Bombyx mori: one gene and its partner. The protein of the gene in region 1 interacts with the protein of each later gene in a pairwise test. Links are inferred from orthologs where the notes say so. Each region holds a gene or a part of one and is shown in the gene's direction. Other genes may lie near its edges.

Evidence for each region.
Region 2: the proteins of survival motor neuron protein (region 1) and Tm interact in binary tests that used the Drosophila melanogaster proteins (3 or more experiments, as listed by UniProt). The link is inferred for Bombyx mori from reciprocal best matches to the Drosophila melanogaster genes Smn and Rpp20.

What each region holds. Positions count from the first base shown.
Region 1 is NC_085127.1:12,736,834-12,740,673, reverse strand, and holds part of survival motor neuron protein, read left to right. Parts: intron 1-3,246; coding exon 3,247-3,388; intron 3,389-3,840. UniProt on the Drosophila melanogaster protein: Core component of the survival motor neuron (SMN) complex that plays an essential role in spliceosomal small nuclear ribonucleoprotein (snRNP) assembly in the cytoplasm, is required for pre-mRNA splicing in the nucleus and acts as a chaperone that discriminates target and non-target RNAs of Sm proteins.
Region 2 is NC_085114.1:11,854,957-11,858,481, forward strand, and holds Tm (Tm protein), read left to right. Parts: upstream 1-1,717; 5' UTR 1,718-1,718; intron 1,719-1,789; 5' UTR 1,790-1,790; coding exon of another isoform or gene 1,791-1,959; intron 1,960-2,125; coding exon of another isoform or gene 2,126-2,238; 5' UTR 2,239-2,251; coding exon 2,252-2,659; 3' UTR 2,660-2,948; downstream 2,949-3,525. Other genes in the region: uncharacterized protein LOC101739983, read right to left, coding at 169-296, 423-484. UniProt on the Drosophila melanogaster protein: Component of ribonuclease P, a protein complex that generates mature tRNA molecules by cleaving their 5'-ends. Also a component of RNase MRP complex, which cleaves pre-rRNA sequences.

The sequences.
Region 1 (3,840 bases):
AGATGCTGTCGTGTGACCGGAACAAAAACATTATTTTACGAAAAGCTTATTGGACTAGCGCAAAAAAATTTACGAACGTGTCAAATATATGGGTTCGATGTTATTACACGACGTACATACACATTTATTTTGCTTAGAAAGTAAACCGCAAGTGTCCTACAAGGATTTGAATCACGTTTCACATAGAAACGTCGTTTGAGACTAGGGTGTCTTATCCAATAAGAATCGATCATCCGATCCCTCAAATGAGAATATTGCATTACAACAATACGTCATTAAGAAAAAAAAACCTTTTTAAGTTTCGAATTTTATACAGACCGACTCAGTTGAGTTCATTACCCCTAAACGAACACCTGCGTGCCTTATTAAAAGACATTTTGCCACGAATTTAGAGAATGTGATATGAAACATTCCCTTGCGCTCAATTAGAAAACGTACGTAATATAACCTCTGCCTTAAATACTGACGTTGTTTCAGAGAGTAGTAGATGAAATACGACCCTTCTGTCTAAAAATAGTCATTCTAATTTAGTTTAGCTATTTTTAGAATTCCATTGCCGTATTAATAAGCAACCTATAGTTGTAGGCAAATCTTCATTGGAAAGGGGAGCGTCCGGCGGCAGCGAAGCTCCCGCAACAAATTGGACACTCTTCTTACAGACAGGCTATTTCACTGGAAATAATTTAGTTATAGTATTGTTTATGTGACGTGAAATTTGAAAATTTTCTCTCATACTAATTCGTTAAGGAGCACAAAATGTTTTAAATAAATGTTTTGTGCTTTTATTTGAAGCACTTTCTTTTCTATTTTTTTTTTATCTATGCTGATGGTCTAGAAAGACAATATCAGCATCACCGGGCTAGTAGGTGAGCTCACGGGGCTAAAACCGGACGATATTACTAACACGAACCCTCGCAAGCGCCGTGCTTCGTAGAATCTACCACCGGATCGGAAACGCGACCCACTGAGAAGATCCGGCGAGAAACTCAGTGGGCTGTGTCTGTGGGTTATTTCTAAGGGATAATTTGCTTCGCTTGTAAATCATCGGATAGATCTTTTCTCTAAATTTTCAATCACTTCTTAGATTTAATGGTCGGTGACCCTGATCACCGGTAAACGGATTTCTGGTTGGAGACTAAATATTAGGATTCGAAATCCCTGTATTGGTGTAGTTTAATAATCTTATTTCAGTAACAGAAACTTTTGTTTCAGTGTGAGCGGTGCCATTGGCCAATTTGAATGTTTTTTATTTGCATATTATTATTTACGTAGATGAATGGACAAGCTCTCGGCTCGTGTGATGTGAAATAGTTACTATAGCCTATAGATAGACGTAAATGCCGCCACCCACTTTAATACGTTAGTTCTAACTCCCAGTTCTACAACAAGTGTTATATTTATACCTCACATAAATCTGGCTAGTTTAGTTATGCCTTTCTGTATTTCTTCCTTTTTTCGTCACACACCAACACTTAATGTTTAATTATCTGCCTTAGATACCTCCTAAATTATCTCTATTGATTTTATGGCAGCTCTATTTTCAGACGTTACTAAAATATATATAAATATTTTTAACATATCTGTTCGAAACGGAGGTCCCATCTTATAATCATTGACTTTGGTGCAAAATCGATAAATACAACACACGAAAATAGAAAAAAATCAGCCTATCTAAATTTTTCACAACAATGTATCCATGCTATTTTTCTTCCATTCAATGGTTGGAGTGATGATCGACTATCAAACACATCATTACTGTGGTTCTCGTAACGACATAGGGACCCTCTTGAGAATATTTCAATGATGTAAACGACGCTATGATAATGCAGCTTGAATAATGACGGTCGCGAAGAGCGTTACTGAAATATTTTATCTAGTGATGTATCGGGTAATAATGTCCGTACAAAGGTGAGCAAGTAATGGATGCGACACAAATCTTGAGTAAAAAAATAAACAGTATTGCCATAAATAATGTTCAACGAAAATATATTTTTTAGAGTTCTGTTCCAAAAGAGTAAAATGGACTCTAACATAATTTCTTTGCTGTTCGTCCGTCCATCTGTCTGTCCTACACTTAAATCCGTTCTTCTGAGAAACAACCAGAAGTGTTAAGTTGAAATCATTATCAGACGGTAAGACTTATGGCAGAAAAAGCTAGAAAGTTTCAAGCTTCTCAATCAACGAAATTAAAAGAAATAGCCCTATTTTGTCCCTTTTACCCGTACCTACATGGACTTTGTCACACTTTTAGCGCAAATGAAGGGAACATTCGAAAAATAATATTAATGTTTGTCTTGTTGAAACAAAAAATACTTTTTTGTCGCACACACCGCATACTCAACAAACCTCTTACTAGAAAGTAGTTTTAATATTTGCCTGTCACATACAAACACGTGAAATCGCCAACCATAGAGTTACTGTTGTAGGTACTTATTAACTCCATGTCGCCAACACAATGGGTGTCTTACGATTACATTGCAAGTGTCAAGGACATGAAAAATCAAACTTTCCATGGATACTCTGTTTTAGGAAAAAAAAGTTTCGGAGCGAAATGGTGAAAAACCTGTTATGGAGAATGTTTGAAAAAATGAAACAAAGTCACTGAACGTCTCGTGTACTGTAAAAAATTTCATTAACTTCATTTCCCACAATTTCTTGAGAAATCATCTCATATAATCTTGTTCAACACTTACTGTGTTCTCGCTTCACATGATCCGATTACATTAAATTATAGATATGTTTATAATTCCACAGTTTCCCAGCAGTTCTGTTTTCGACCTTTGTTGTAAAAAATTTAGATAAATCGTCTAGTTTCTCTTTGCCTGTCCAATGTACATACATAACAAACAAACAATTATTCGTCTTCATCAAATGTCAAGTCTAAGATCCTATGATGTCGTAAATGGCGTAAAATTGAAGATTTAAAAAAAATTTACAAAAGATTAAGCTGTACGTTGTGATATCTCTGCCTTTACTGTTGGAAAATAGAACTCACTGTCAAGTCTCTGTAACATCAAGTGTCAAAGCATAATTTTCAATTTACATTAGAAACAAAATTCTAGCTAAAAGAAAATTTAAATACAAAAAAATACTTAAAAGAGTATCTAATTTACAATCCACATCAAAATGTCTAAAAGCGAAATTTTGTACGTTAGGGGAATGAATATAGCGAGTATCATATTCTAAAATATAAATTTTTACTTACCTACCTTTAAAATAACAACCGATTTTACTGTTTGATTTCAGTCTGAAACTGAAGAAGAAGAAGAGGAAGATGTGTGGGACGACAAGAAATTGAATGATGCGTACGACAAAGCACTGAAAATGGCAAACGCTGAAGTCGCAAAGAGAGTAGCAATGTCTACTAATACAGAGCATGGTAACAAAGGTATCATATTTAATACTTACCGCAAGCTATCTATTAATAATAATTTAAGATGCAACTATTTTGCCGCAGCTTGGCAGTTGCCAACATAACATAGCTGCACAGTCACATGCAATTTGTTAACTTTAACAAGTTTATTGTAAAATATGTGGAATGTATTTGTATATATAGTAAATAAATGTGTAACAGGTAGCTATGACGCCTGAACCTCGCCAACAACATTTTCGAGATACATTTGATATACAAGTTTTTAGGTTTATTATTTTTTTCTTACATATTGGTTACCTTTACCTTTATTGGTTACCTTTTTACATTATTGGTATAAACAAGTTTCAAACAATAATATTTGGACCATTGGTGTACTGAGCAATTTTACCCACTAGCTGGAAGATCTTCTATTTGTTGTTACCCCAACTATGAGTATTTAGTACTAAGTTAATCTTATGATAAAGAAG
Region 2 (3,525 bases), on another chromosome or scaffold:
AGTGCTATGGTGCAACGGCGACCCCACCCTTCAAACCGGAACGTATTACTGCTTCACTTCAGAAATGGCAGGGCACCTACCCGTTCGCGCTCACAAGACCCTACCACTAGCAACAAAACATTACACATTTTTATACATCTACACCAAATACGAAATGCTTTTTCTTACCCATTGCATCCACTGATGATTGAACGAAACAGTAGTGGTAGCCTATCCCGATGCCCATGATGGTGACGGTTAGAATGGTCAGCATCAAACAACATGTTAGCATTGCGCATACTGTCCACAATGATACTCTGATAAAAGAAGTCGTTTTATGTATGTAGGTATATCAACAAGAAAAAAAAAATCTGTACTCATTGACAAATTCTTGATCGTCATTTAGAATTTTTATATGAAAACAAGTTTGACATAAAAATTACCTTTCCAGGGCATCAAGAATTATGGATACAAAAGAACTTAACGAGCAACATACACAACCCATTTTGATTCATTAAACATAAAATTTTAAATGATTAGGAGTACAATCAACTACATTTCATGAAATCATTTGTCAATCCATTTGATATTCAGATAAATAAGCCAACAATTTTTAAAATTCTGCAAACATGATTTTGTTATCATCCAACAACGAAAACGTATTGATTATGATTGCTTGTTGTTTGTCAGCATCGGTGACACAAGTCAACAGGCTTAAAACACTAATTTCCTATTTTTGCATCAACTTTAGCATCAACCTTGCTATAATCCGATACATCGATTTAATAAATTATTATATTTATATTTTGATAGTTATATAAAAGCTTAATTTAAAATTAATGTTTAAAATAATTATATTATATTATTAATTATCGATTTTATGAAAAGTTGAGTTTGTTTTGGATTACAAAATTAAAATTAAGCAAGTCAGCTTTGTTAATTATTTTTACTAAACATCCTCGTTTGTCGGTATGTATGGCGACATTTGTGTTGTTGATGTCTATGAGCTCCAGTAACCACTCAACACCAGACGAGCAGTGAGCTCGTCCGTCCACCTAAGCAAAAAAAATGCACTACAATTATTAAATGATATTAGCTTGTTGGCTGCGTTAAATTATTGTTGCCAATGTCGAGTTTATAGGAATCTTCAATTGTGTACGTTTAATTTAGGTACGTAATCTGTTATGTGAAAAATGATATGAAGCGAAATGAGATGAAGTGTTCTAATTTGCAACTCTAATCAAATGGAATGAAATTAAATGAAACAGCTAACAAGCCACCGTTATTACAGATTTAAACCTAAAGAAACACTTAATTAACAAAATAACACAATTCACACAACTCTCTCCTCTCATTCCCGCCAAAGATTCTTCAGGTAACATCATCCAAATAATCACGTAAGTGGCGATGACAAAAGTTATGGAAATTAATTGATTTCGTTAATTTTGTATTTTTCAGGTTTATTTAATTAGGTACCTATGTTGGTAGGTACCTAGTGACTTTTCTATTAAACGGTTTGATTTGGCATTATGTCAGTTTTGACACCTGTCAATATTCAGAGGTTATAAATATTATGGCAGATGTGATGGCAGATCCTAACAGTCTACAGAAGAAAGAAGAAACGAAGAAAAAGCAAAAACGCTATCCTAATAAGAATTATGCTCTTAAAAAGCGTTTACCACCTAGGCCAGTAAATGGAGACAATGTGTTGTTTATTACGAAGAAGACGAACTTTAAAGTAAAACCGAAAAACATCAAAACATCCCATTATACTATGTAAGCACTGATATTAAATATTTCTTAATTTACAGGCACAACTAGATAAATGTTGCGATTTACTAACAAGAGGAGAAAAGGAGATAATACTTCATGGTCTAGGCGCGGCAATACAGAGATGCTGTAATTTGGCACTTCAGCTGGAAATTCTATTTTCAGGCACCTGTCAAATCGAAGTAAACACTGGATCTGTAGACCTAGTTGGTGAGTTACCAAATTTCCTGAAGTTATATAGTGAGCAACAAATACTAAGTATACCACTCCAGTAACTATATTCATTTGAATGGTTTTGTCAAATCTAACTTACAATAAATACATCGGAAAAATAAATCTATCATATCTTTGCTTATATGCCATTAATCTTTTACAGATGATCTAGAGCCACTGACTGATGAACTAGATTTTGGCTCACAAATACGACATTCATCATCCATCCACATAAGAATATTTAGGACAGCAATGCTCGGATCTAATCAAAACTAGTGAAAGGGTGATAATGTTTTTTACACTAAATGAGATTGTGCAATGGATTGGACTTACTGTATTTGAAATATGGATCAATCTTATAACGCTCACTATATTTTCTGTACTGTTAGCTCTTAAAATTGATGGTGTATTGAATAGTGCATGGTGGACAATATTTGCACCTTTGTTTGTGAGTGATGCGATGAATGCATACTTTTGCTGTATTGTATGCATAAGAATGAATCTGGAAAATTCTTATAAAGCTTCTTTATATAGAGCATCTTGGAGTGGAATATTTTTAGGGCTAACATTTGTTTTCAAATTTTTACTTTGTAGAAAACTACAAGGTGATTCGGCTATAGAATACAGTGAAGTTTTTGCACCATTATTTATATTGTTACAATTGATAGCAGTACGTGCATGTCAATTACATCAATAACATTCTTAACCAAAAGATGCTCTTATATTTATGGACATAAATATTGTTGTACTATAATCATAATTATATCTGTATGTTTCATTTTTTTCAAGTAAACTGACAACTACGCTATTGTAAATAAGCTTTGTAGCATAATCTGACTGAGACATACAAATAGAGAGCTATTTACTTATGTTACTTTGAAAATGTTTACACCTGAAACCAAAACACATTTTAAATTCATATCCATTTGTTTCTGATTTTTTTGGCCATTTATGACATAGCAATAAAATTTAAACAACTAATTAAATACTATTTTTTATTCAAAACCTCAAGACTCATATTCTTTTAATGATTTTTTTATATAATGTGACTGTTTGAGATTAAAGGCTGTATAATTATACTTTCTGTCTTTGCCTATGTACCATAAAGTGCTATTTGCACAAGGTAAACTTATTAAGTACGTATTTCAATAGAAAAATTGGTACCCGCCTGCGGGATTCGAATTTCGAACATCGAGACATCGCTACATACGAATGCACCAGACGTCTTATCCTTTAGGCCAGGACGACTTCAAAATCGCCTCGACGGCCCGTCGGTCTGGCGTCCTCGGGGGTGGCGCCGCGTGTCTGGTTGTAGTGTTGACCGCGGGAACCCCCCTAGTCTGACCGGGTTCTGACTCCGGACGGAGATCGGACGTCGGGTGTAAGAGTGCAGGGGGTCGCTTAGTGCGGTAGGGCCCATAAAATTCCTTAGCCGCGGTCTGCTCCCAAGACCTGCAGATCAAGTCCCACATACCCCGCGCGCCAACTAGGCGCGGGGACCTCGTGGGAGATTGGCCTTCGGCCCGAAAAAACAAGAGTAATGACTAGTAAGATTTAAACATC